Linked DNA regions of Rattus norvegicus. The protein of the gene in region 1 purifies or fractionates together with the protein of each later gene. This does not show direct contact. Links are inferred from orthologs where the notes say so. Each region holds a gene or a part of one and is shown in the gene's direction. Other genes may lie near its edges.

Region 1 (3,782 bases):
TATCTTCAACATCCCTGCCAGGGGTGGGGGGAATCCTCTGACCTTGGCTTCCCAGGTACTGGGATTATAGGAAGGTACAGAGTATTGATATCATATTTCATAAACAGTTTGGACTTTACAGGGCACCTGTTTAACTTGTAGCTTTGAGAATTTGGGAGAGGGGGAGGCTATTTCAATAGGAAGGAAAAAGGAGAGGGAGGGAAAGAGAGAGAGAGAGAGAGGGAGGGAGGGAGGAGAAAGGAGAAGGAGGGATGGGAGATGCCAAAACCATCAACTCTGGACCTAGGTAGCTGTAAGCCTGAGTCAGACCAACAGTGAGTTACAGTATGATCTTGAGCACATGGTCAAACTACGTAGACATAAGCTTTATTACTCAGAAGTGTGGGGTGAGGGAGAGAATTCAAAAGGGAGCAAGGAATGTTGAGAAAGACTAGATCAGTAGGTCCTGGTTCCAATCTGGAGAACTTGGTGAGGAGACAAGTGTAGGCTCTGCCCACACAGACAGGACCGGTGTTGACACTGGGTGTCTTCCAGCTCCTTCCTTAGTCCTCATTTCTTCAGTCCGCCATGACCTGAGTGCTGAGCGTCAGTCTTCCCTCACAGGTGCTGCTTGGCACACGCCCTCACAGGTGCTGCTTGGCACACGCCCTCACAGGTGCACGTCACAGGAGCGTCGTAAAGGGTGCTGGACACCTGTTTCCTTCCTGTGCTTAGAGATCTAGTTTCTTCTTTATTGTTGTACAATAATTAGCCTGTTGTTACATTATTGTCAGCATTATTGAGTAACCTTGGTTTAGCCCCTAGTACTAAACTATCATACATTTGACTCTATTTCTAAACATACCATGCTTCTATATTTATTCAACTATTTTCTGCCATTACTTGGTATCTGTATTTGTCCCTTGTAAATTTGTTCCTTTAAAAAAAACAACTTACTGTATCACTCATTTTAGAAACTGACGCTGTTCTGAGAAGCTATGCCTGCTGGTCCTCACCATTGTTTCACCATCTCATTATTGTGTTTATTTGAGTCAGTGCTGTACTTAAGTTTATATTTCTGTGACACGTGCTGTGGCTGTTAGTTTGAGGGAGGGTCGTTTGTCTGTCTGTATAGCTTTGGCCGTCAGGAAACTCACTCTGTAGAACATACTGGCCTTGAACTCACTGAGATCCTCCTGTCTTTGCCCCCTGAGTGCTAGGATTGTGAGGAAAACCAGGCCGATCTCTGAATTCAAGGCCAACCTTGGTCTATAGAGTGAGTTCCAGAATAGGCAAGACTACCAGAAAAACCCTGTCTCAAAAAACCAAAAGTTATGGTATATTTTGAATCTTTTCATCCTAATATTTTTAAGTAAAATTTTCTGCTGGTACTCAGCAAACATATTAATTATCTGTATCACATAGTGAATTGTTAATGGTCTTTCTAAAATTGTGATAGAACTGAATTACTCCTGCTTATCTAGAGTTCATGACTCATCCCAGTCAGCAGACACTGACTGCCCAGCAGCGGCCCTGCTGACAGGCCAGGCCATCCTGCGAAGCACACTGCTGCATAGTTAAATCTCGGGTACCGTGAAGTGGGTGTGAGGAGCATGAACGTGACCAGAAGTAAAAACCACCTTAGCGTAGACTTTGGTTTCGGTGTCTTCTCACTTGTCCACAGTGCAGTGCAAAAGTAAGACAGTCTAGCTAGGTGTTCACAGCCTTATTCCCCGGCCACTGTTTATGAACAGTGAAATAGCAGATGTACCTAGAGAAAGAAAGCCCAGGATAAAGAAGTGGTCTGGACAACTCAGGCTATGGGCTGATTCTAAACCACCATCTGGCCAGAAATGAAGCACTTGTGTGCTTGGCTCAGTCTGTGTAGGACAAAATGGCCGTCCCAGGCCACAGTGCCAGGCACCACCTGGAAAACAGAGAGAGCATTAGAATCTCTGTTCATGCTTACTTGTAACCTCCTTCTTTTCATGTGTCTATCATGTTTATAACCTAGGATCTATTGATGTAGTCATGGAAACAATAGCTATCCATGCGGTGATGTGCTAGAAAGTACTTAATGAGATCACTGCTGTATGCAGAAGAATAAGCCCTTGAGTGTTTGCGACCTGCTTTAGTCATTTATTACTGATATAAATTTGGTCAGCTCTGTGCTATAATCTTTAAAACAGGAGTGAAAATGGCCACCTTGGCTTTCCTGCAGTGTGAGGAAGTGGACATGGGGGACGGGACAGACAGACAGACAGTGTGTGATTATAAACCCAATTGATGGCTGTGGGGTAATGCCGCCTGCAGTCATGTCAGCTCTTAACGCTTTTCCTCACACATCGTAGGCATGGGGTAAGTGAGATTAGATGGAAAGACTTTCTTTTCAGAGTCAAAAAAAAAAAAAAAGGAAAATGTTTAGAAGTTGAGTTCTGTGATTCTGTGAGATGTCTCTAACTTAGACTTTTCATAGTCAGAGGTTTTAAGTATGCTTAGAAATTAGAAAAGACATTGAAAGTATAAAATGTGTTAACCTTAGAAGAAAGGAAGTTGAAGAAAAAAATGAAAGCTTTGGAAATGAATTGATAAAAGTAAAATAAAATGGAAAGTCGTTTTCTAGCTGGGCCGGCGATCCGATGCCTCCCTGACCGGGAGCTGCGCTCGTACTTTGCTGCAGTTCCCCACGACGTGAGGTTCTAGCTGACTTCTAGTGGATGGCGCTTCAAGCACTGCCTGTGTTTAAAGATGCGGGGACTCCATTGCTCTGGGTGTTTGGAAGTGTCTAGGAGTTGTTCTTCCTCTTATTTTCCTCCTGATGTCATTACAGGTTGAGGCTCCATTCATACCAAAATTCAGAGGCTCTGGCGATACCAGCAACTTCGATGACTATGAAGAAGAAGAAATCCGAGTGTCTATAACAGAAAAATGTGGAAAGGAGTTTTGTGAATTTTAGGGAGGAGAAGGATTGCCTGGAGCTCACACTCAGTCCTTGCACGCTGTGGAGGTAGAAGATGGAGCCGAGACCTGCTTGTTGGAGCGGGTTCCAATCCCTTCATTCCAGCAACCGTGAGGTCTTTCTTGCGTCATCAGTGTGCGCTCTGCAACCGCCTGTGTACCAAGGCAGCGCTCCGCAGCATTGTCTGTGCCGTGACACAGTGTGCACCAGGTTCCTGGTTTGGTTGTTGTCTCCACCCTCCTACATCCTTCTCATTCACCTCTCTGACCAGTGCTCCCTTTATTTTCTTGGTGTTTCACATGGGCAGTGTTATGGCTGTTTGGTATTTAAAAAGGAAGCTACATGTTGCTTTTTGTAGTTTTGAGCGATATTTTTGCTGACCAGTGGCTTGAAGATAAACTCTCTAATGATTATTTTTATTTTGAGTAGCTTGGACTCAGTTTTGCCAAAACTCTTAGTAATTTGAAGGTGGAATGTCTTATCAGCACGGGAATTTGCATAAATGAAGATAACTTTTCAGGGGTCACTGACGTAGCAGTAAATCAGAGCACCTAGACGAGCAGTGAGGGTTCCTGGACAAGAGGCTTCGTTCCCCTCGGTAATAGTCTTCTCTCCGTGAGACGATAAGTGACCAGACAGATGCCTCATTTGTCAGGAAAGTGCGGGACATGGCTCCTGGCCCCAGCTGTCTCCCTTGGTACCAACATCTCTGTGGGTTAGGAGAGAGGCCTAAAGTTTCAGCCTTCGCTCTTCCGTGAGGGCTTTAGCCAGTATTTCAGGAGAGCGTGACTGATAGGTGACATTTTGTGAGGTCTCTCAGACAGTCCTCATCGGCGGGTTCTTA
Region 2 (3,937 bases), on another chromosome or scaffold:
ACAAGAATTAATGAAACAGCACATGTCTCAGATAGAGGAGCTCAAATCCCAGCACAAGAGGGACTTGGAGAACACCTTGAAGTCAGACGCAAGCACTACAGTCAGTAAAGAGCAGGTAAACTTGATGAGTGCGGCCATAAGCGAACTCAATGTAAGACTGCAGGATACTCATGCTCAAAAGGAAAAACTCAAGGGAGAGCTCGGGGCAGCTCTGGGAGAAAAATCAGCTCTACAGAGTCAGTTTGAAGACCTGTTAGAAGAGGTCAGGTTTTTACGAGAGCAAGTGCAGAAGGCTAGACAGACAATAGCAGAACAGGAAAACAGACTGAGCGATGCGCGCAAGTCCCTGAGCACAGTGGAAGACTTAAAAGCTGAGATCGTTGCTGCCTCCGAGTCCAGAAAGGAGCTCGAGGTCAAGCACGAGGCTGAGATTACAAATTACAAAATAAAACTCGAAATGCTAGAAAAAGAAAAAAATGCCGTGCTAGACAGAATGGCGGAATCCCAAGAAGCAGAGTTGGAGAGGCTGAGGACACAGCTCCTCTTCAGCCACGAGGAAGAACTGTCCAAACTGAAAGAAGACTTAGAGGTCGAACATCGAATAAACGTTGAGAAGCTTAAAGATAATTTGGGCATCCACTACAAGCAGCAGATAGACGGCTTGCAAAATGAAATGAATAGGAAGATGGAGACTATGCAGTGCGAAACAGACAACCTGATAACTCGGCAGAATCAGCTAATTCTGGAAAACTCAAAGCTAAGAGATTTACAGGAACACCTCGTTAACTCAAAATCAGAAGAGATGAATCTTCAGATCAACGAGCTGCAAAAAGAGATTGAAATCCTCAGACGAGAAGAGAAGGAAAAAGGTAGCCTTGAACAGGAAGTCCAGGGGCTACAGCTTAAAACTGAACAACTGGAGAGACAACTGAAGGAGAAGGGAGATGACCTTCAAGAAAAATGTGCACAGCTGGACGCAGAGAACAGCGTTCTTAAAGATGAGAAGAAAGCCCTTGAAGACATGTTGAAAATGTACACTCCTCTGGACCAAGAGGATCCCAGCACACGCAAGTCGGAAGACCCGAGGTGGCAAAAGGAAGTAGGGATGCTGAGGAAGGAGAACGAGGACCTTCAGCAGCAATGCCTTCATCTAAGCGAAGAGATCGAGAAGCAGAAGAATACCTTTGCGTTTGCTGAGAAGAACTTTGAAGTTAACTATCAGGAGTTACAGAGGGAGTATACTTGTCTTCTCAAGATAAGAGACGACTTAGAAGACACACTAGCTAAGCAGGCCTTGCAGTATGAAAGTAAGCTGAGCGCGCTGGAGGAAGAGCTCCATTCGCAAAGAGGAAGTCCGACCACGCCACCGAAGGGGGAGAATTCTGGGTTTGCTGCCAACAGAACTTTCCCATTGGAGCCGCTGGAAGTCGGCGAAGTTGTAGAAAAAGATACAACAGAGCTTATGGAGAAGCTGGAAGTGACCAGGCGAGAGAAGTTGGAGCTCTCAGAGAAAGTCTCTGGTCTTTCTGAACAACTAAAGCAGACACATGGTACGATTGATTCTCTAAGTGAAGAGGTCAGAGCCTTAAAGCAGGAGAAGGAACAGCTTTTATTGAGATGTGGAGAGCTAGAACTCCTCACTAATGCTAATGGGACAGAAAATGCATCCGTCTGCCCTGTGCAGAGGAGTCCTTACCAAGCTGGGCCTGTGATGGGGACGGTCAGGGATTCTCAGGGACCTATTTCTAAAGTCAGCGAAGATTTGGCTGAAGAATCAAAACCAATGACAGAAGATAAAATTCCCTTTAAAGAAAGTGGGAGAGAACCGTTGCTTTTGCCAACAAGAACAAAAAAACCATCTCGAGTGACAGTTGAACCATGTGAAAGTGAAAAACTCCAGCAAGAGCTTTATGCCCTCAAAGCCGAGCAGGTATGTCCATGTGCTCTCAGAATCACAGGGAAACACAGATTCACACACAAGCAGCCCACTTCCAGGAAGCAGATCCACGCCCTCACTGGGAGGGAAGGTGAACCCTGGCATGGGGCTCTCAGTTTCTGTCAGTCAGGTGTCAGTTTACCTAAACACTGTTGCCTCTCTTTCAATTAATCTCTTATGCTGATCAGAAAATAAGCTAGGGTAATCCTTTTTACATCCTTTTCTCCTTCTTAAAGAGAGAAGTTACTGTTGGGAGACTTGGTCTCATTTTATATCATAATCACTTTGCTTTAGTATCCATTATTTAGAGCATTTCATACTGATGTCCTCTAGTATGAAATTTCAAGTTTTCAGTTAGAATCCCACAATTGTAAAGCAAAGCAAAACAAAAATCCTAAGTTTTCTGCTGCTCTGAATTACTCAGTGCTCATGGAATCATATTTCTGGGCGCTGAGGCTTAAGGCCTAGAGTTTTTGAGTCTTGATACCTGAGTGAGGAAAAAAAATACCGTTAACTCTTCAATATAAGGCAAGGTCTTAAAAATGCATATAATAAATATTCTAGATTCATTCTGCTGCTGTGGTAAAGCTGACCAGAAGCTGTTGTTGTAAAATTATATAAAAAATACTGTCTTTTACCCTGCACTAGATCTGTCACTGTAGATATCTGTGATATGTGATATCTGATAGAAATCTTCATCTCAGTCAGCAAAGCCTCTCACCCGCTCTGCTCCATCCCATGTCAATGGCCTGTCTCTGAGCCTGGCCTCAATCCCTCTACACATTCAGTTCCCGAGGCGGGCTGCCACCATGCAGAAGTATAGATCCTAATTCCGTGGTGGCTCGGTGTTCCAGCTGCCGCATACGCTCTTAAACTTAGTTCGTCACAAGAAAGAACACACAATAGCCTTTGATCTAATCAATAAGATATAATTGCCCACCTAAACATACAAAGCCCTGTACACATCCATCCCTCAAGGACATTCATAACAACCTGTAGATGTGCAGAGTGGAACCTTGGGAGAGGAAAGGATTACAGGTGGTTCAGACTTCCAGGTCACAGTCCAGAAGTGAGGTCAGAAGCTCAATCATAAAACCACACAGGAATGACCCACAACATAGCATTTTATCACCATCCCATTGGCAAAATAACTGACTTACTGATACGGATCTAAGGACGTAAGCATCCACATTTATCTTAGTTCAATTATATAAAATATTATTTGGCTACTAAAGCTGGGCCTGTGCATCAGCTCTGACCAGCAGTTACGTTCCTGACGGCAGCGACACTTGGAAACAGGCAGAACGAGTATTTCTTAAGCTTCCTGAACCAGGTCAGAGGGCAGACACCATGGACTCGTGTCAGCAAGAGCTGCAGATGAGTCTGATGCATCCTGGACGCTCACTCGCCAAGCGTTCACCCACTTGTCGTAGGTGCTTATCTGTAATAATTAACCACCTTTTGATTTAAAGGACCCAAGCTTGCGAAAGTCTAGTTGGTCTCCACCAAGGGAAGTGCTCCAGTTGTGGATTGTTCATTTATGCTGCCCTGCAATCAAAATGAATGAGCCTGTCGCATACACGCATTGATGTCAGAAGCATTTTTATTGATATTTTTATATTTGATAGAAAAAATGCAAAGGAATTTACAAAATGAGTGCCTTTGCATCAGTACACAGAAATACACACTATAATGTGCTGTTTACGTGTATTGGGGAAATGATAGTAGACACATTTCAGATTTTTTTGGTAACAGTTCCTTGTGAGCAAGAAATAATCAAACATCATGAATTTAATTTTGTCTCTAATGTTTTCTTTCTTATTTTAAGGAGCTTTAGATAGATAGAAGAAAAAAATGACAAGACATTGGGATTTATTAATTTGAGTTTTGAGTACATTGGTATTTATTTACATTATTTTCATTTTGTAGCTGTGAAACATTATTTAAGAGATTCTTGCTAGCTATACCAACCTATTTACCATCACACTGAGTTAATCAATA
Region 3 (3,937 bases), on another chromosome or scaffold:
AGCTCACGAGATTGAAAAGTCTTACTTGAAGCCACTATAAGTCAGGAATTTTCCACGTGGCATGCAGACTTGGGAAATAATATTGACATGACAGTATCATATTGGGGACTATCTCCTATCACTAAGTGCTAGATGGAGAAAAAGTTAGGGGAGCCATAGTTGAGTTTATTCTCCCAATTCTGATTTTATGCAATTTTCTTATACATTATAGGTAGTATATAGGTATGTTTGATTGTGTAAGCACTTTAAAAATTGCTTTATCATTGATATTGGTTATTTGGAGTCAAGATCTTGGTCTTTAGCCAGGCTGGCTTTGAACTCCGAATTCTCCTGTGTGCTAGCATTAGAAGCCTGTACGTGCTCCCACACCTGGCTGACAAGTGCTGTTTTGTTTTCTGAGTGTAAGCTGCGGGTGAGTGAGGGCCCTTTACATAGCATCGTAAAGGTTCGAGATACATATTGATCTTTTTAAACTTTTGTTTAAGTCCAAACTGCGTGTGTGTTACACACGGAAAGCTAAACGGCGAGGAGGAGGAGAAGGTAGAAGAGTTAGAGGATATACTTTTAAAACTAGGACTGATGGTGTCCATGCTGGCATTGAGTCCACGCCATAGAAAGACCTGGAGTTGAGAGCATCCTGCCTCAGTCTCCCTATTGCTAGAATTACAGGTCTGAACAGTACCAGTTTTCAGGCTATAGGTTTTTGTTTGTTCATTTGATTTTAGTTTGTGTGTGTCCAGCGCTAGGGATTAAAACTAGGACCTTGTTCCGATGAGGCAGAATACTTCTGAGTGTTCCCCAGTACCCTGTAAGTCATAGTTTAAAAAGATTTATTGTTATTATTTTGTGTGCATGTGTGTGTGTGTGTGTGTGTGTGTGTGTGTGTGTGTGTGTGTGTTTCTGTATGTGTACATGCCTGAATGTATGTGTGGTGCAGCATGTGGGTGCCTAGAGTCTAGAAGAGAATGTTAAATCTCCCAGTGGTGGGTAAGCTGCTCCATGTGGTGCTGGGATTTGACCCTAGAAATGACCCCGGACCTCTGGAAGGAGCAACAAGTGCTGTTACCCACCGAACCTTCTCTCTAGCCTCGTAGGCCACCGCCCAACTCCTCCCCCTTTCCCAGCTCCTCTCCCCCAGTTCCCCTTCTCCCCTTTCCCCCTCAAGATTTATTTTAGTCTGTGTGAATGGCTGTTTGGCCTGTGGGTTATGTCTGTGTAGCAGATGTTTGCACCGCCTTCGGGGGTCCTAAGAAGGTGTTGAACCCTCCGGAACTGGAGTTGACAAACATGCGGTTAGCCATGTGGGTGCCGGGAACTGAACCCAGGTTTGATGGAAGAGCAGCCAGTGCTCTTAACTCCTGAGTCATCTCTCCAGCCATTTACATATTCTCATGGAATGTGTTTTGCAGCCATAGCATTTGAAAATAGAGGGTGACGACAGAAGGAGGTACTTTTTAAAAATAGTCCGCAAGGCAAATCACTCTTCAATGGTATACTGGCCGAAAATTAAGTAAGTATTCCAGGATTTTGTTCAGTACAAACAACATTTATGTCTGCTGATGGAGACCACCGAAAGATACACTTAGCGATTAACTGTCAGTTCTGGTCTTTTCCTTAGTCGTTCACCTACAGCATTGTGGGTGTTCTTCCCATAACAGGAAAACAAAGGCCCAGTGTGAAACGTGGCTTTTAGGGCATGACATGGAGGGCTGTTACAAAATACCACGAGGATGATTTGCTTCTCATAGTTGAATTAAAAAAAATGCATTTTAGAGCCGTACACTTAATTTTTGTTATTGTGTGTATGGGAAGGCATGCATGGGTGATCTGTGTATGGAGGTCAGAGAACAATTAGAATTGGTTCTGTCCACCTGTGGATGGTTTCTGGCAGGCCCAACTCAGGTTGCCAGACTTTCATGGCAAAAGCCTTTACCCAGGAAGCCGTCTTGCTAGTCCCAAGAGTCAAGTCTTTTTAAATATATTTCCAGTGTAATGATGGAGTGGAAGAGTTTGTGGAGAAAAAGTACAAGACCTCATGCAAATCAGAAACACAGAGTTGGGGGTTGGGGATTTAGCTCAGTGGTAGAGCACTTGCCTAGCAAGCTCAAGGCCCTGGGTTCGGTCCCCAGCTCCGAAAAAAAGAAAAGAAAAAAAAAAAAAACACAGAGTGGGAGGAAAAAGGGATAAGAGGTGAAGTATGTGTGTGTGTGTGTGTGTGTGTGTGTGTGTGTGCGCGTGCTCATGTGCATGTCTGTGTGTGCATGTGTTTACGTGCATGTGTGCATGTGACTATGATCAAAATATACTGTTCTTGTATGAAAGTAACAATGAAACATGTTATATATAATTAATATATCCTAACAAAACAATATTAAACAAAATATATTAAAATGCCCCACATAATGGAAAATAGACATGAGAAGACACAATAAACAAGTCAGCAAATAACTTTTGCTAGTTCGTTGTCAATAGGTGAAAAAATAGGACCGCTTTTAGATTTAAGAAAATTTATCAATAAAAGATGGAAGATCTATTTGTCATCTATGTCCAACACTACCCTTTGGGAAAGGATTAAAGCCTTCGAAGTTTACTGTTTAATATAAAAAAAAAATGCACCGTTAGAAACAAGATTATCCAAAAACAAAACAAGCAAACATGGGCATGGTGGCCCATGTCCACCAAGCACTGGGGAGGCAGAGGCAGGTGGAGCTCTACGAGGTCAAGGTCAGCCTGGTCTACAAAGAGAGTCTAGGAACTGTCCTAGGACAGTTAGGACTTTTACACAGAGAAACCCTGTCTTGAAAAAACAAAACCAACCAACCAACCAGTCAACCAACCCACTCACCCAAGAACAACAACAGCAAAAACCAAGCCAAGGCAAAGCAAAACAAAAAACACCCAGGACTCTGTTAAAGGAGAGCTTAATAACCTCTCCTTATGACTTGAATTCACCTAGCTGAGTTGGCTTGGTTTTCGTGTTGGAGTTTAACAAATAACAATTCAGTAAGACGTGTTTCTGTTTTTGGTTTGTTACAGGAGAAATAGATGCCAATAAGTGTGATCATTTATCAAGAGGAGAGGAAGGGACGGGGGACCTGGAGACCAGCCCTGTAGGTTCTCTGGCAGACCTGCCGTTTGCTGCCGTAGACATTCAAGATGACTGTGGACGTAAGTACTGTGTTAAAACACAGATATTTAGGAGCGCAGACACTGCATCTAGTTATACGTTTCCTCCATTTTACATGCGTGTCATGCTTTTGAGTGCTAACAGTTATCTGGTACTTTGTTGTCAGAACTGTCGCAGACAATATTAAGGCATCGCTCACAAAATTGTGGACCAGATTATTCTGTGGTTACTACCTGGCAGATGGTTCTGTGGTTTACAACAACCCACTTTAGTCCTTTAGAACCACCTGTGATTACAGAGCCTACCCCTTCACGTAATAAACGGTTAGTGGCGTTTGCGTGTTTATGGGCACTTTGCCGTGCATTGATCAGGTCCATCTCTCCGTCAGTGAACCAGAGAAGCATTATCAGTTCAGTTCTGTAGCCCCTGAGAGCATCGTCTACGAACTTTGTGAATTAGTTACTTGGTTGAAATGCCAAACTAGAAATGTCATGTCATTGTGAAAACAGAACTGTACGTAATGTCTGTCACCTCTACCAAGGTGTGACAGATTTCTGTTATTCAGGAGCGGGAGATAAAACCTGTTCGCTGTCCATCTGTCGGTGCTTCTGATCTGTCCATGTCTTACTCATATTTAGTATATCTGAGCAGCTTACAGTAGGTGTGAGTAACCTCTGTAGTCTGGCTATTGGTTGAGGAGGTCCATGACCACTGTACATGAGGGAGAAGGACTGGGGTGCGTTCGTGAGCTCTGTTCTCTTCATGCTTTGAAAAGGATGTCTGCTTCTGCTCAGGATGGGCCTCAGGAAG
Region 4 (3,658 bases), on another chromosome or scaffold:
TTTGTACCTTCTAGTACTGTATTCCATTAATAGGCATTAGATTGTTTTTGACTGTATGTCCTTAGGTAGTTATCAATTTACAGCAATGATTGTGAGGTGTTCCTGTACCGTCCAGTTTTCTAAGCCTCATCTGAGTGCAGAATCAGACCCTCATACAACCTGTCCATTACACATGACCTGGAGCTTCTCACCCAACCTATGTCCCTTCACTGACTGCTCTTGACCAAAGTGTGTGTCTAGGGGTGAATAACAAAGAGAAGTGACTCTTCTTCCACTTGAAATTTAGAGTAAAGGGTGTAAAGGATGAGTTATTGCGACTCCTTAAGTGTCATGGTAAGGTCAGTGCCAGGGCTGTGGATTAGAGGGAGTGCACTGCTTCCTGTGGTTAACTGCTAGTGTTTACTGACATGCTCCCCTGAAAATCCTCTACAGATGGTCATATTTGCTACTTAATAAATCTTAATTCACTGAAACCTGTCATATTTTCATAATATTTTTAGAAAAGATGTAGAACTTAGATTTTTATTAGTTAAAAATCTATACCTTTTTTGCTTAAAGATTCCCTTATCTTTGAAATACAGAACGACATGGAACCTAGCAAAGCTGTCCCACTGAATGCATCCAAGCAAGATGGACCCCTGCCAAAACCACATAGTGTTTCACTCAATGACACGGAGACAAGGAAACTGATGGAAGAGTGCAAGCGACTTCAGGGAGAAATGATGAAGCTCTCAGAAGAAAACCGACACCTGAGAGTAAGTTGTTGGTTGAAAATGAGGTGACTGGATGAGGTATGAGGAGTGCGCTGGTGTCCTTCAGCCTCTCTGTGTTCATAGTTAGTCCTGTTGCTGGTTATTGAACTCGTTTGACTGTTCTTATTACTTGGAACTAGTTAATACAAGATTAAAGAAATGAAGTTTCTGAAATCTGGTAATGGAAATAAAATGGCCAGGTATCTTTAGTTAGTGTTCTAAGATTTTTTTTTTTTTTTGACATTTGATAGGATTATATTCTTTCTCTAAGTTGAAAATGCACCTGCCTATCGAATGGCCTAGCCTAGCTTAACACATTAGCATTGCTAATTAGCACCAGAGTTTGGGCATCCTCTGAGAGGATCATAGCACATGTCACCAGCCTGGGGAAGATGAGGACTCAGGACAGCTATAATGACGTGTGTCACTTCACACATTCCTAATGTTAGAACAGTAAGTTAAACTGTAATGAAGCTGGGGTGCTGGTTGAGGAATGGGGTGAGGATAGAATGGTTGATACTGAGGTAGTAAACATTCTCTAGTTTCTTAGGTTGTATGACCAGCACCTGATAAAGTTAAGAGGTATCTGTAATTTCCCCAGGACCAGGTGACACATACTATCATAACAACCACTTGCTTGAGAAACTGTTGCTTTCCTAGGAGAAGCCAAGGCAGTCACATCTCCTAAAATCATAGGACTATCAGAAACTTAAACTTAGTGCTGTGTGAAACCGTTTTAGTGAGAAGGGGGCAGCTCATTCTTTTACATGGAAGCAAATAAGGTACTTTAACACAAGGAAGCAATTTCCAGTCTGGGCAGGGGCTTCAGAGGGTTCCCGTATGTGGTCTGCATTAGTCTATGCTCCATGGTGGCCCCCTTACGTATGTTCCTAGGTTTTGCTCTGCACATATCAAGACTATGAAAATGATTCCTCCTGTGTCTGCCATGTGGCTTTTGACGTTGTTGAGTATAGGGTGCATTGATAGCCTCTGGCCCATGGCTGTGGCCAATTAAAAATGCCGTGGAGCTTAGTGGAGTGAGTACACATGTTCTGTCAGAACACATTTCTCAGTTTGTGTTTTAATAGTCATTGTTATTGCAGTGTAATTCATATCACATGAACGCTTTTGATTGTCTTGGCGGATTTATAGAATTATTCAGCAGTTGCTTTAATTCAGTTTTAGAGTTTTTCCTAATTCCACAGGTGCCCAAGGTAGATGGGAATTTATTCTTGCCCCTATTCCTAGCCCTCCACGCTCTTTATGAACTATTAGCCCCACTACTCACCTGTGTGTGCTGTTGCTTAAAATCTTTGTTTTCTGTGTTTCCCCCAGGATGAAGGCCTACGGCTCAGAAAGGTAGCACATTCGGATAAACCTGGATCCACCTCAGCCGTGTCCTTCAGAGATAATGTCACCAGTCCTCTTCCTTCTCTTCTGGTTGTAATTGCAGCCATTTTCATTGGATTCTTTCTAGGGAAATTCATCTTGTAGAGTGAAGCATGCAGAGTGCTGTTTCTTTTTTCTTTTCTCTCGACCAGAAAAAGATTTGTTTACCTACCATTTCATTGGTAGTATGGCCCGCGGTGACCATGGCCCGTGGTGACCATTTTTTTTTGTGTGTACAGCGTCATATAGGCTTTGCCTTTAATGATCTCTTACGGTTAGAAAACACAATAAAAACAAACTGTTCGGCTACTGGACAAATTGTATATTACCAGATCATCACTAGCAGATGCCAGTCGCACATCCAGTCCTTTATGAAATTCATAATAAAGAATTGTTCTTTCTTTGTGGTTTTAATAAGAGTTCAAGAATTGTTCAGTCTTGTAAATGTTATTTTAATAATCCCTTTAAATTTTATCTGTTGCTGTTACCTCTTGAAATATGATTTATTTAGATTGCTAATCCCACTCATTCAGGAAATGCCAAGAGGTTTTCTGTGGGGGAAATGGTGCCTCTTACTGTGTAAATTTTCTCCTTTACCTTTGCTAATATCATGGCAGAATTTTCTTATCCCTTGTGAGGCAGTTTGTTGACTGAGTTTTTCATCCTTACAATCCTGTCCCATGGTATTTAACATAAAAAATAAAACTGTTAACAGATTCTTGCTCGACAGCTGGTTTGTGTCTGTCATGTCATTTGTGCTGGGTCGGGTAAGGGTGGGGTGGGTGAGGAAGTTCAATCTGCAGTGAACTAATTTTATTGGACTTTATTGATTTATCTGTTTGCTTGCTTTGCCTTGCTCTGGTTTTTCAAGATAGGGCTTCTCAGTGTATCCTTGACTGTCCTGGAACTTACTCTGTAGTCCAGGCTGGCCCTGAACTCAGGTATCCGCCTGCCTCTGCCTTCTGAGCCTGAGGATTGAAGGTGCACGCTGCTGCCACCAGCCAGCAAAGGAGTGGGGCCTTGTGCACTGCACGCTTTTGTCCTGTGTGGGCTCTTCCTAGCCCTGTGGCTATGTGTAGTTTAGTCTTCAGGCTGCCTTAAGAAATGACAAGATTTAAAGCTAACGGGGATTTTGGAACATCTTAATTGAATTTATGAAATGTAACAGTGCTGTAATCGTGATGTCTCCTGCGTGCCAGCTGACTGAATCCTGTTCAGCTGACTCCATTCTTGCCAGGTTTTGTTTTAAACTTTTCTCAAGGAAGACTAATTCTCCTGTATTTCAAATACTCAGTACATTAAATAATTCTACTTTTTAATGTGTTTCTTAATAATAGCTAAAAAGAATTGTTTTTCTGTTGTGGAAATTAGTATTAGCAAAACTTGGGGATTTGCTTTTTGAAAAACAAAACATTAGTTTTGCAAATCAGTGTTAGACATGTGAAAATTACAGTTTGAACACTCATTACGTATAGATTGATGTTTCCCTGTAGTCTTATGTCTTAGTTTATATCACT
Region 5 (4,568 bases), on another chromosome or scaffold:
TTTTCAGTTTCCAGGTTCACCGGGGGTTAAGCTCATAATTCACAAACATGGCCTCTCTAAATAAGTCAAGGGATTAACTTTCTATAGATTCTCTGTAGTTCTCTACTTCATTTTGAAAATGGGAAAGCCGAGGTGGTCACAGGATAAGCTGTAGTTAGGATCTAGGCGTCCTCACTGCTTGCCCTGCAATCCTGTCCACACCTTGAAGTATTTGCTTTAATAACGGGATCTGGTGGTTTTTGCATTTAAGTACTCTTCTAGACGTTCTGTATTCTTTTGATTTCTGTTTTTGTTTTACAGTTCACACATGTATACAACATGTTATGGTCATTTTCATCACCTCCCATTACACTCTCTTGTCCCTATGCACCCCTGCTTTCATGTTCTTTTCCTCCCCTCTGAGTTTAATTAGGGTTGTTTAAATGAACGTGGATTGGGGTTATTCAGTGGTCCTCCTCCCCAGCTATCACAGATCTCATGTCTGAACTGTAAGTTTTAAGATGGAAAAAGAACGGAACACTTGGGGTTAATAGTCTGTGTGCCCCATTTAGGGCACATCATTCGTTATTGCCAGTTTGTAAAGAAAGAAAGTGTGTTTAGGGTTGTGGGGAAATGAGAACTACTATTGAAAGAATTTCTAAAGTTATCTCAGGTCATCCTTACAACACCTTATAGGATAGCTTTTTTTTTTTTTTTTTTTTAACGGAGCAACAATTGAGCTTGTCAGTCATGGACACCCACTTGTTCCCCTAGGATCTCAGAATATAGCAGGCAAAGGTCTGAAGCTAGTGATGTCTGGCCCAAAGTGCCCAGTCAAAGGGTCATGACAGAAGAACTGTTTTTACTACCAGGGACAACTGTTCCACATCCAAGCATCCTCCAGTTCCCTTCTCCCTCCCCTCCCTTTTTCCCTCCCCTTATTCCTGTGTAGATTAAAGAAAAGTGAAGAAGTCCTGAGAGTGGGAGGGGTTTCAAGGCAGGAATAGCTGAAATCCCAATTCAGTCAGAACCTTTGTTGGGAAGGGAACAACTGTCTCTTCTTAAAACATATTCCCTGGCCAAGAAGTTTAAAACATGGTTCCAAAGTGCTAAGATGTTGATACCAGGAGCTAAGGATCTGGTTTTAACGGATAGTAAACTTATTACTTTGAGCAAGTCATTTCATCTCTCTAGGTCTCAGTTTACTGATTGTTCATGTACGAGTCCTAATAGTGACAAAATTCCCATGAAGTATGGATGATACATCTATAGGCATGCGGCTTCAAACTCGGCTGTAAACCACTGCTTGTAATAGCGCTTCACAGGTGGTACTTTTCTAAATCGAGGCATAACTCAATTATCTGCGTTTCAACTAAAGGAAGAAGCCTTTTGGGAACAAAGAGTCAAAGCGCGATTGCGGGGTCATGTGTCTGGAATGGCAGCAAAGAGACTGGTACTCTGAACTGTCTGACCTCCCGCTTAAATTAACTGATTCGGGCGGACTTTTACCCTCAACAAATATGGCGCTCTTCTTGGCTTCGGCCCGATTGCCCTCACACACAAAACATGGTTGCCGCTTCTTTTCTCCTAGTATTGCAGGCTCAAGAGCACAGGTTCTGCCCTGAGTTAAGATGGCGCCCACTCAAACTCTCCCTGCCCGGTTTTGGGTCTGTGCTAGGAAGCTTCACGGTGCGTGCCTGGATGACCCCGCCTTGTTTCCGTAGGAAGAAGCGCCGGGAAAGATGGCGGCGGCTGCGGTTTGAATTCCAGCGGCGCCGCTTGACTGAGAACAAGAGCTGGGTTGGAGGGGGCGGGACCTGGGGAACCGAGCGCGCCGCGACTGCGGGGTAACCAGTGGCGCTGCTGCTGCAGACACCGGTGCCACCTCTTTGTGTTCATGATGGACTCAGGGATGGAAGAGGACGTCACCCTGCCTGGGACCCTCAGCGGCTGCAGGTGTGGCCCTGGCTTTGGGCTTCGTGGTAACTGGGTGGGGGTTTCTATAGTGGGTCACACCCTGGAGGCCTTCCGTTTGCTTGGGGACGGTCTCTGCTGCCACCCGAGTGTGGTGGGACCTGGGTGTGGAGCCAGCACTCTGTTCGACTATATGTTGTGTGTTCTGGAGTACACTTTGAAGAGGGTGTGTAGGATAGTAAGGGGCTTTTTTGAAAGAGTGGGAGGAGATGGGACTAATTAGTAGGGGGTGGTTGGAACTGGACCTTAGAGCGCTTGGTGGGTGATTGATTCTTGTTTGGGGCTTTGCATTCATTATGGGGAGTGTAGTTATTTTAGACTTTTACAGGGTCACACAGTAGCCATCCAGGACAGAGGCAACAGTGCCTTGGTTGGAGATGGACAGAATTTATCAAATCCAGCCTGGTAAATTGACTTCTGCTTTGAAAACAAGATGAGAATGAAAAGCCAGTTCTCTGGGCTGGTGTACTGGCTGACATACACCAGTGTTGAAAAGGATGATACTATGCTAATCTACCGTTGCTACTGCTACTACAAGTTGTGTCTTCTATTCAGATCCCTTGGGACCAGAAATTGGATTATTTTGGACATTTAGAATGGGTTGTGGGCATGAGAACTAAACCACCCCAAGTCTAGCTTAGTAGATCTGCTAATACTCTCCTTTCCTTTCTCTCTCAGCCTTGACTGGACAGATGCTGCATTCACTCCTGGTCATTCATCTCTTAACCTGCCCTAGGCCCTCCAGGTGCCTTGCCATCTTCAGGATGAAGTTCTGTACTGTGGCTTCCAAGTTTCTCTCTAATCGGCTGCATCTGTTCTCTAGCCTCACCCCCACCCCATCTATGGTTCCCAACTCTGGGTCTTCTCCAAGCCCTCAGCCCTGTGCCTGACTGCCAAGCTCTGTCAGGAATGATCTTACCGAATTGTTTCTTGGTGCCAGGCTATGTACGTGCTGTTCTTGCTGTGTCAGTTGCCCTTCCTATGCCTTTTGCCTTATTGATACCCAGGTTCCACTGCTAGGAAATCCACACTGACATTCTCACCCTTGCTTGGGCCTTCTGTAATGTTCTAGCTACCCTTACCTGTCACTGTCCTAACCTGGTTGACTGTGACCAGCGTAGAAATACAACCTATGGTGTATATTTAATTAAAAACTTTCTTGTGAACTGGGTGTGGTAGTATATGCCTTGAATCCCGGCATTCGCGAAGTGGAGGCAGGTGGATCTCAGACTTTAAGGCCAGCCTGGTCTATAGAGAAAGTTCCAGGATAACCAAGAAACCTTACACAGAGAAACCCTGTCTCGAAAAACCAAAACAACAACACTAAAAACTTTCTGGTAGTCACAATTAAAAAAAAAAACTAAGAAAAGAAACAAGTGAAATTCCTTTCTTTGTGGTGCTGGAGGTTGTACCAGGGCCTCTCACACCTCCTCAGCTAGTGCTTTACTACTGAGCAGCAGCACCATTGGAAGCAGGTGAAATAATGGCGTATGCTATTTAGCTTAATATTTCCGTATGTGATTTTAGCAAAATCCATAGGAAAACTTGTGATAAGATATTTTTATCTTTTAATCTTCCTTAGTCTTTGAATCTGGTGTGAGTTTTTACACTTGGATTGCTTCTCACTTTGGGCAAACTTCATTTCAACCTATACCTAATGGTTGTGTGTTGGGCGGTGGAGGTATTGGTTGTTAACATACACTCACCAGATGAGCTAGAGTCCTGGTTTAGAACAGGAACTAGATTTTGTTTGTAACCCAGTTCTTAGCCTAATGTCTGGGGCAGAATAGGAGCAGAGTGGCATTTGTCAAATCACTGAGTGAAAAGTGATTCTTTGAGGGGCTGCTTCTCTCCCCCTGTTACATGTGGGATCCTGAAGCTCAGCTGAAATGAATGGTCTTGGGTCACAGAAAAGTCTGTGATAAATCAGACTTAACTCCAAGCTTCCTGAATCCAAAGTCTGTTCTGCCTTCTGACTAGTCTGAACTAATTGAACTGAGTATCCAAGGGGCTCTTGCAGAGCTTCTGGCTTTGAACTGGCCCTTCTGGGCTATTCTGGGCTGGATGAGTCCTCATTAGGTGACCACAGTAGGAGACGATAGTTCCTATGATGAAATCATACTTTTCATTTTAATATACTGCTTTCTGAGCACCCTTCTCAGGGGAATTTGCAAGCCTCATGTTTATAGCCTAAACTGAGCACAGTTTGTCCTTGAATTTTTGTTGCATTAGGTCAGGGTGTACCTGACCCAAGCTTATTGAATATCGAGTTGCTCTAGCACATGGCCAATAAGTGCTTGCTACTGTGTTAGGAGCAGACTGGAAGAACATGTTTAGCCATAAGCATAGTTTGATTTTCACCATCATGTATGCCAGAAGAAACAGTCTGGAGAGAGGATGGAAGGGTGAAATCAGATGAGGGAGAGGGCTAACTTGGATCCAAGGTATTCTTATACTGGGAAGCTTTAGGAGAACCATGAGTCCTTAGTTAGCAAAGTATTTGCCTTGTAAAAGACCTGAGTTTGATCCTCAGAACCCACAAAAAAGTGCTAGACATGGTGATGCATGCTAGAGAAGCTGAGATCAGAGAATCCCTGGGTCTGGCTAGTTAGCCA
Region 6 (3,937 bases), on another chromosome or scaffold:
AGAGGAAGTGGATTGTTTTAAAAACACCTGTCTACCTTCAGAACTCAGTCCTTGCAGCCAGAATGACTTCAAACCAACTAATGGTGATATCGACATGCAGAGTCCTTCAAAATTAATGAGTGGCTCTATGATTATTAGCAACTTTTCCACAGCAATGGTACATACAATAGTAAATGAAACCTTAGAGTCCATGACATCCTTCAAAGCCACAAAACCTGTTGATACAAATGCAGATTATTTAACTAAAACAATAAAGGGAAAAGCCTGTTCTTTTTCCCTTTGCGACCAAGCAGCACCACAACAGAACAAAGCTAGCAGTAAGGACATGTTTGCTGAGCATTTATCAAAGTCTATTATTAAACATTCCCTGGATAAAAGCAAGTCAGTCCTTCCAAATATAGATAAAAAACCAGTTAGTAAGGAACACATGCTTGTTCTTGGAGAAGAATCACAGTTGACCTTGGGGGAAACTCCCAAATTCCTTGACTTTTCAGATAATTCACCTCAGTATTGTGTTCCAGAATGTAAAGATTCTGTGGGTTTTGGATTTTCTTTAGAGGCACTGCCACCTTGTTCAATGATGACAAGTCAGAAATCTGACTTGAAGGGAGTTATGAAGGATAAAGTGGTAACAAGACACAATCTGACTAATACTGCGCTTGAGCCCTTGTCTTTTGGACAGGAAAGCTCTTTCCGTCCCTCACAGACTTTATCATCTGCAGTGCTTACCTGTGTAGATAGTTTGCATGTGGAAGATAAGCAGAAAATCAGAGACAGAAATGTGATACCTGATACTCCCCCATCAACACCTTTAGTACCATCCCAGACTAGTTCTGAATGGGACATCAAAAAGTTAACCAAACAACTCAAAGGGGAGTTAGCCAAAGAATTTGCTCCCGCAACACCACCTTCGACACCTCACAACTCATCCGTTGGTAGTTTATCTGAGAATGAACAAACTACTATAGAAAAGGAAGAGTTCATGCTGAAACTCATGCGCTCTCTTTCTGAAGAAGTTGAGAGCAGTGAAGGTGAGGAGCACCCAGAAATGGATGTAAAGTCAGAGCATTCAGGGAAAAAAGGTCAGTTTGCAGACGCATTAGCTACACACATCATTTCTCTTGCAACTGAAGTGGCAGCCTCCCACTTAGATCATGAAATCACTCAAGAATTCAAGGTTCAAAACTCTCACTTAACTGTGCCAAGTCAAAGAAGCATGCTGCCTGCTCTAAGTCACTTAGATGAAAGCATACAGACGTGCAGTTTTGCAAGTGATATGGCAGCTGGTGTTATTGCAGAAGCCGAGAAAGTTGCAAACACTAGAAGTTGTATGCTTTTCGGGCATGAGAGGACCATTTGTCATGTTGAAGGTGATCGAGGTAAAGCAGAAGAGAAGCTGGATGTGGAGGATATTGCACATCCAAGAGAAGTAGAAACGTGTGTTCTTTCATTACCAAGTTGCATGCCAGGTCTGACATACAAGTATCCCAGCTGTGAAAGTGTGACTGATGAATATGCTGGGCACGTTATTCAAGTGCTGAAACAGGAAGGTGGCAACAGTGAGCTAATCATGGATCAGTATGCCAGTAGATTGGCCTACCGTTCTGTCAAGTCAGGAGTACGAGAAGCAGCTAAGACAGTAAAAGTGAAGTGCAGTTTGAAACTCTTCCCTATGCACACCTCTCATGTGAAAACAAACAAGGAACTGTTGTTCTCAAGTAAAGAGCATCACCAAGAAGTAGATAAAAAAAGACAAAGAAAAAAATATGGCAGCCATCCTTGCAAATACCAGACATGTGACAGGACACAGGATCCATGTAGAAACGAACTTTCTGAACTGTACAGGTTTTCAGCCTCTCTTGCTAGCAGCATAACAAGAGATGTAAAGAAACAGCTGACAGCACCTAAAGTTGACTTGCCAAAATCCTCAACAGACTGTTGTCTTTTTGAAAAATCTGAATGTGTTGACAACAGAGAGAATGTTACTGGACCAGAAGTTTCAAAGTCGTGTCAACCTTTACAAAACCATGGACTTTGCCAGAACACAAGCAGTTTAAGTGGGTATAGCTGTGGAGAGAGTGCTCACACTGTAGAACAGTATGCTAGGAAAGTAGTGGGTGACACTTTAGAGCTAAGCTTAGGACCTGCAGTTTTCCTTAATTCAGAGACCACAACATCACCAGATAGGATTACTTATGCAGAAAAATTGTCACCACTTATAAATGAAGCTTGCAGATACTGTGACCTTAAGGAATCCCATGGTTGTATCAGAAATTCTGCTCAGCTCTTTTCAAAGCAGGGTCCTTGTGCTAGTGCTAAGCCAAGTTCACATTCAAAACTTAGTAGCATCCGCCAGAAATCAAGAATTTTTCATCTTGATGTTCCTCAAATTCATGTTAATCTTGATAAGAGGGCGGTGCTTGCAGAGAAGATAGTCGCTGAAGCTATTGAAAAAGCAGAGAGAGAGTTGAGCAATACGAGTTTGGCAGCTGATAGTGGAATTGGACAAGATGGCATTAGCTTTGCTGAGAGCCTTACCACAGAAATCATGACCACAGCTATGACAAATGCCGGGCATGCTGTTAGCAGGTAGGTTTCAAATTTTCTGTGGAGTCTTACAATAGAATGAAAAGCTAACTTTGCCCTATAAGTTTTAGGTTCTGTTCATAAAAAGACTACTTATTTTCATTCTAACTTAACAAAAATTTTCTGTTGCATTTGTATGTGGCTTCATATCCTGTGCATGGTTTTCATCTGAAATTTTTGTTTCCCAGTTCCTTTTGAGAGAAATTATTCATTTACAGGGCTGGAAGATGAGAGAAAGGACAATAACATCAATTCACAGAACTAAGAAACAGGTAAATAGAATAAAAGAAACTGGTGAATTTTATTTAAGAATTCAGACTGATATATTTACTACTTTGAGATTAATGTCTCTTTCTATGGTTGAAACAACTTGGCACACATGGTTTTTATTCTTCCTTGTTCACAGCAGCTCTAGAAGAGGATACTAGATGGTCATTCCTAAGCCCTTACTCCCAGGACCCAGCAAATAACGTTGCTATTCATTCTTCAGACTATTCGTTTTCTTCCTTAGACCTGGCCAGTAATGTACCTTATATTCTTCTTTAAGCTTGTTTTTATCCAGGCTGGTATTCGCAGATTCTCTTTGTATTTCTGTTCCTATGTCTCCTTTAAGCGTTGTGCCAGGAGTCTGTAAGTTCTGCAGAGTCCCTTCAGTTGCATGTAGTTCTACCTCATATTTTATAAAGTTAAAATGATTTAAGATTGAAGAATGATTGGTTCAAATAGATTATTCACTAAAATGTTAACTGAATTGTTTCACTAATGTTCCTTTTCTCATAAATGTTTGATTAATGGAAGTAATCATAATGGTAGAATATTATAATAGGATATTACAAACCCATAACGCTCACCAGGGTACCATATGAATATCAAATAGGAAAGCATATGGTAGTGGAATTTTATAACAATAATGGATCTATACTTTATTTTTAATTACCATGAGTCCAGTTACCTAGCAGTCATTACAAACCCTCCTTTTAGCCTCCTCCTGTGAGTCATTTTCTTAAAAATGTGACAGGTAACAAGAAAAAGTGTTAAATAAAATAAAGTTGTGGTAAGATACCTGTGTTTGGGATGCCAAACCTAACCCGGTTGTTAGATCTTAAATGCAAAGTGAGAAGCTCCTTAAAAATGGGAAGGGCAGTTCAGGGCTTATTTTAGATTTTAGGGAGATAAATTGAAACAGGAAAAAAAAATGTGTTCTCCAAGAGCTGGGGGATACTGTGTTCCAAGCAGAGGGCTGGGGCTGCCTGTGTGTATTGCTGTAGAATGACTACTCAGAGGATAGCAGGTAAGAATGTTGACATTGTGAGGGACTAGCTTATACATCCATGATGTTCTGAAGCCAATG
Region 7 (4,546 bases), on another chromosome or scaffold:
AATCCCCAACCCCCTCCCTCTACCTCTTACACCCCAGAGTCACTGAGCAATGATGGGCCATTAGTTCAGGCCAGTATCTCATCTCCAATGACAATGAGGTTTCTTGTTTGTTCCCTTCTGCCACGGTCAGTCACTAATCCACTATTATTTACAGAACAGGTATTATTGGACTTAAGTTTGACCGGCCGGGTGGTGGTGGAGAGAAGGCTTCATGGCAAGGGCACCATCAAATGTTCCAGAGGACCAGAATTCGGTTCCCAGCCTCCACATGGAGGCTTTAAACTGCTCTGTAACTCTAGTTCCACAGGATCCAACATCCTCTTCTGGCTTTCCCAAGCACCAGGCACTCGAGTGGTGAATGAATGTCTGTGTGTAGTCAACACTCATACGCATAAAAATAATCTTTAAAAACAATTTGGGGGGTTTACTTTGAGATAGGATCTCAACTTGGGTAGCCTGGGGTGACTTGAAATTGTGGTAATCTTCTTCCCTCAGCTTCCCAAGTGCTGCCTCAGGAAATAAATGAGTGAAACAGTAGATACATGAAATTATATTTACCACTCAGTAAGCATACAGTCTCCTTTTAAAACATAAATTCACATTTAATCACCAGTGAAGATTTTCCCAAGTAATGGTTCGTTCGTGGTATGGCATCTTTTCTATATTTTGTACAAAAATATGCGTTGAAAGTGCTATGTAATGCTAACACTCCGGGGAGGTGAAGGCAGGAGGATCAGGAGTTCAAGGTCAGCTTCGAACTTGACAGTTTGAGAGTTTGAGGCCGGTGTAGGTTACATGAGACACAATCTCAGAATATCAAAATAAACAAGAAACTAAAGTGCCTAGGTTTTAAGGATCAGAGCAGGGCTGGTTAGCAAGTGGAACCTCCTTCCTATCCAATTGTCTGATGATAGTTTTATTTTCTCATGTTGTTGGGAGGAGGCAGTGACTCATGGTGACCACTTCTTCGAAGGCAAACTTTGCAAAAACTCAAATCATTTAGAGAAAAGTCCTATCGACATCACTAAAGCTGCAAAAATGAGAAAGCAACTTGCCCTCGAGGGCTACACATTATCCATATTACTGATCAATTAATGGCCACCTAATATACTCGAAATGCTACGTTATACTAGCAAAGTTACGGGACAGCTCAATTCCTAGGTAAGAGGAACAATGTAACCTCGTCTCTCACCAGCCGCTCCTGCCTTTTCCATGGGACGCACCATCCCAAGGCAGGAACCTGCCTGATACCTCTCCGTCCCGGAGAAGAAGAGCTCTCAAGCGAGCCAAGTTCATTGTGCCTAGCGCTCAGACATGGGTAACCCACCCCAGCCCTTGTGGGACGTAGGATCATCTCCCACGCCTGCCGTGACTATAGTTACTCTCGCGAGAGCGCCAGCAAGGCGGGCCCGAGCGGCGCCGGGATATCAGCGGAGCGCTCCAGACCGCGCCCCTCTTGGCGCAGATAGGAGAGAGGCGCGCGCAAGTCGGGGGAGGGAGCGGCTGGTGGCGCGCACGCGCAGGAGAGCGAGCGGGCGAGGGGGGCACGCCAGGGGGCCGAGGGCGAGGGGCGGGGCCTTGCGTCGCGCCGCGGGCACGTCGTTGCGCGTCCTCAGTATTTAATGTCTCTGTGTTCGCCCGGCCTGGGCTAGCACGTGGGGGAGCGGCCGAAGCGCCTTGCAGCGCTGCGGGGCAGGGCCGCTGGGCTAGGTGGGGGGCCCGGGGGCGGTGGCGGGAGGACTGTGCGCCTAGACGGTCGCCCCGGAGCAGGTAAGTGACGGCTGGCGCGGGCATCCTCCTGCCGGGCCCGGAGGGAGAACGAGTTGGGGTGATGGGGAGCCTGGGGTGCAGGTGCAGAGGGCGACGCGTGCGTCAGGTACTCCGGCGACGGAGAGTCCTGTGCACGGCGCCTGCTGTCAAGCGGTCCGGTATGAGCCTTGGTGACCCGCGCGCCCCCCCTGCTCCTTCCCTGTCCGGCGATTTGCCCGCGGGCTGCTACTGACAGATCGCGTGCGCTGAGCCTGGGGCGCTGCTTTGAGCCGCTGCTTTCCCCTCCCATCCCCCTCATGTCACTGGCCTCTGGGATGGAGATGAGGGCGCAATTCCCCGGGCGCTTCGGTGAGCCTCAACTTTCCCGGTGCCGGCTCACCCTTCTGGGTAGCGAGCCCGAGCGCGTCCCACCCAAGGTCGTCCAGCCTCGCTAGCGTTTACTTTTCAAAGGTCGTGTGTACCCAGTTTGAGCATGGAGAGGAGGCAGCGGGGCTGTCTCTGCCCAGGACCCGGTGCCCAAGGCGGGAGAGGAGGTCCTTGGGAACCCCTGTACTTCCTAACTTCCTAACTGCTGGGCCCAGTTCACTCGCTCTGGGTTTGCCCGGCAGTGGCACAATTCCTGGATTCAGTGCCGCGAATTATTGGAGGACTGTTGCAGCGGGGAGAACGGGATGCGAGACAGGTCCCAAACCTTTTGGCGGTGAAGGGACCATAAGACCAATTAGGACCGGAGGTCGAGGGCTTGGGTGTCCGAAAGGGGATTAGAGTTTGTGGCCCCATAAGCGCGTCCCAAAAGGTGGAAGACCTCTAGCTAGAGGTGTCCGCTGACCTCTGGCGGGGGTGGGGAGGTCCAGGGTCACGTGTCGCCTTCCACCTTTCTTCCCGCCCCAGGACAGTGATCTGGAGGGACTTTGCAAGGGGTCATGGGGGGGGGGGACTTTGCCACGATTGTAGGTAAAAACCTGCGTGTAGAGAAGCCTCCGTACGCGTCAAGGAGCCTACATTCTGGTGTCAACTACTCCCTTGTCCTATCTTTTCCTGTTTCCTTTCTGCGGGTGGGAAGGTGCTAATAGTATTGGGCTGTGCAGAAGAGACTTCCGAGAAACCCTGTGTTAACCCGGACCTTTCTTCTCTGGGAAATGCCTCGAGCGACTAGTACCTTTCTACCCTTGGGCTGTGCTTAACACAAACCCGGTGGACTTCGCTCCAGGTGCGAGTGGAGGCTCCTCAAACCGGTAAGGTAGGGTGTATGTGTAGGGCAATTAGTGAGGTTAAACTGCCTATCTTTCTTTCCACTACTGAAGTTGAGGCTGCTTGGGGTTTAAATGTAACGCCTGCAGTGAAATCGGGGTTGCCGCACCTAGTGTAACCTTCTCTGTCGATTTGCTATTGCTTCCGGAAACCAATAATCAGACGCGCTCCTCTAAGTGCGAAATCCTTCCCCAATTAGTAACCTTGGGGTTTTTGGTTTTGTTTTAAACGCTTTAGAAAATCGAGGCTTAGATCCTTAGGGGTTCCTACCCGTTTCTCTCTTAAAGCCACAAAGCATCTATAAACTCGATGAAGGAGTCGCTCTCGAGTCAGAGTCTTCTCTGATTGGCATTTAAATGGCTCACCTTCAGATTATTTAGGAGTCTTGCAGAGCCCAAGGGTTAGGTTTTTGACAGCTTTTTGCTGTTGAGCTTTCTTTTACTTCTAACCTGTTTTGTAGGTTCTGGGTAATTCCTGGGTGTCGTCTTGTGAATGGCCTTGGGTTAGAGGACATTCTCCTACCCTATGGGCGTGTGTGCAAATCACTAAAGCTTCCGGTCAGTTTGCTAAATCAGAAGGCTTTGTTCTGTAGAGGGGGCCGGTGGGTGAGACCTGATGGAAATCTAGTGAGTTTGTCTACCCGGGGTTCTCCCATCTCCCAGATAATTGTAGGAGTCTCATTCTCACTTGACCACTGCAGGGTGACAGCAAAGATACACAGGTATCAGTTGTACGATGCCTGCTCAGATGCTGAAGGCAGTGTGTCAGGTTTGCAGAGCCTCAGTACTTTAAAGCAATCTGTCTTTGCTACCTTACCAGGTACCCAGATTATTTGTGGAGCTGGCCATAGCTAGTTTGCGGAATAAGGTAGTTTTAGCTTCCGGTTTTCCTTTTCTCATCCTAAACATGGATGGAGATTGGGACTATCCCTGGTATAGGGTAGGCACTTAAGTATGGCGTCCCTCACTCCCAAGGAATCCCTGTCAAATGTCTCTCGGTCATTTGATTAAATATAAAAGCACTCCCTCCCCTAGCCTCTGACCTAGTAACTTGGTTAGAAGGAAAAGGAAGACAAATTGGTTTACCCTCACTTTGCCACCTAGCCTCCTGGGTCAGCATGTCTTGATCGCACCGGCATTTTAAGGCATCGGAGCTCATGTGCCCGGGGAGCTGCCCTGTTTTCCCTGGCTACTCCTTCCTAATGTTCCTTGTGAGTTTGACATGCCTGGACCTCTCTGCGGCTCAGTTTTCTTTCCTGTCTGTAGGAAGTTTGTATCTGGCGTTTTTCTTTGAATAGTAATCCTAGGAACTTTATTATGGGGAGATGCCTGGGTTCTGTGGGCTCCATGTGCCATGGATATCATAATGTTTGAGAGTTACTAATCTCTACAGTGGGGTGTGTTAAGTCCTAAATCTGGCTTCATAGGGCAAATTCTGTTTCTCCTTCCTGGTGTAGTCAGTCTCTCTCAAGCACTTGGGATTGGACATAGGCTTATGCATGGTAAGTTCTGGACAGTTGACCTTT

The links.
Region 2: the proteins of Prkacb (region 1) and Akap9 purify together in Homo sapiens (affinity purification with mass spectrometry; 5 studies listed by BioGRID and IntAct, counting the BioPlex papers as one, with this or other methods). This does not show direct contact. The link is inferred for Rattus norvegicus from reciprocal best matches to the Homo sapiens genes PRKACB and AKAP9.
Region 3: the proteins of Prkacb (region 1) and Akap7 purify together in Homo sapiens (affinity purification with mass spectrometry; 4 studies listed by BioGRID and IntAct, counting the BioPlex papers as one, with this or other methods). This does not show direct contact. The link is inferred for Rattus norvegicus from reciprocal best matches to the Homo sapiens genes PRKACB and AKAP7.
Region 4: the proteins of Prkacb (region 1) and Vapa purify together in Homo sapiens (affinity purification with mass spectrometry; 4 studies listed by BioGRID and IntAct, counting the BioPlex papers as one, with this or other methods). This does not show direct contact. The link is inferred for Rattus norvegicus from reciprocal best matches to the Homo sapiens genes PRKACB and VAPA.
Region 5: the proteins of Prkacb (region 1) and Cdk5rap2 purify together in Homo sapiens (affinity purification with mass spectrometry; 4 studies listed by BioGRID and IntAct, counting the BioPlex papers as one, with this or other methods). This does not show direct contact. The link is inferred for Rattus norvegicus from reciprocal best matches to the Homo sapiens genes PRKACB and CDK5RAP2.
Region 6: the proteins of Prkacb (region 1) and Akap11 purify together in Homo sapiens (affinity purification with mass spectrometry; 5 studies listed by BioGRID and IntAct, counting the BioPlex papers as one, with this or other methods). This does not show direct contact. The link is inferred for Rattus norvegicus from reciprocal best matches to the Homo sapiens genes PRKACB and AKAP11.
Region 7: the proteins of Prkacb (region 1) and Akap1 purify together in Homo sapiens (affinity purification with mass spectrometry; 4 studies listed by BioGRID and IntAct, counting the BioPlex papers as one, with this or other methods). This does not show direct contact. The link is inferred for Rattus norvegicus from reciprocal best matches to the Homo sapiens genes PRKACB and AKAP1.

What each region holds. Positions count from the first base shown.
Region 1 is NC_086020.1:238,299,292-238,303,073, reverse strand, and holds the end of Prkacb (cAMP-dependent protein kinase catalytic subunit beta), read left to right. Parts: intron 1-2,809; coding exon 2,810-2,935; 3' UTR 2,936-2,947; downstream 2,948-3,782. UniProt on the Homo sapiens protein: Mediates cAMP-dependent signaling triggered by receptor binding to GPCRs.
Region 2 is NC_086022.1:31,112,690-31,116,626, reverse strand, and holds part of Akap9 (A-kinase anchor protein 9), read left to right. Parts: coding exon 1-1,930; intron 1,931-3,937. UniProt on the Homo sapiens protein: Scaffolding protein that assembles several protein kinases and phosphatases on the centrosome and Golgi apparatus. Required to maintain the integrity of the Golgi apparatus. Required for microtubule nucleation at the cis-side of the Golgi apparatus.
Region 3 is NC_086019.1:21,912,801-21,916,737, forward strand, and holds part of Akap7 (A-kinase anchor protein 7 isoforms delta and gamma), read left to right. Parts: intron 1-3,036; coding exon 3,037-3,168; intron 3,169-3,937. UniProt on the Homo sapiens protein: Probably targets cAMP-dependent protein kinase (PKA) to the cellular membrane or cytoskeletal structures.
Region 4 is NC_086027.1:112,624,003-112,627,660, reverse strand, and holds the end of Vapa (vesicle-associated membrane protein-associated protein A), read left to right. Parts: intron 1-581; coding exon 582-755; intron 756-2,087; coding exon 2,088-2,246; 3' UTR 2,247-2,870; downstream 2,871-3,658. UniProt on the Homo sapiens protein: Endoplasmic reticulum (ER)-anchored protein that mediates the formation of contact sites between the ER and endosomes via interaction with FFAT motif-containing proteins such as STARD3 or WDR44.
Region 5 is NC_086023.1:88,973,050-88,977,617, reverse strand, and holds the start of Cdk5rap2 (CDK5 regulatory subunit-associated protein 2), read left to right. Parts: upstream 1-1,720; 5' UTR 1,721-1,876; coding exon 1,877-1,935; intron 1,936-4,568. UniProt on the Homo sapiens protein: Potential regulator of CDK5 activity via its interaction with CDK5R1. Negative regulator of centriole disengagement (licensing) which maintains centriole engagement and cohesion. Involved in regulation of mitotic spindle orientation.
Region 6 is NC_086033.1:60,337,534-60,341,470, reverse strand, and holds part of Akap11 (A-kinase anchor protein 11), read left to right. Parts: coding exon 1-2,589; intron 2,590-2,774; coding exon of another isoform or gene 2,775-2,784; exon of another isoform or gene 2,785-2,804; coding exon of another isoform or gene 2,805-2,817; exon of another isoform or gene 2,818-2,858; intron 2,859-3,937. UniProt on the Homo sapiens protein: Binds to type II regulatory subunits of protein kinase A and anchors/targets them.
Region 7 is NC_086028.1:74,148,398-74,152,943, reverse strand, and holds the start of Akap1 (A-kinase anchor protein 1, mitochondrial), read left to right. Parts: upstream 1-1,577; 5' UTR 1,578-1,770; intron 1,771-4,546.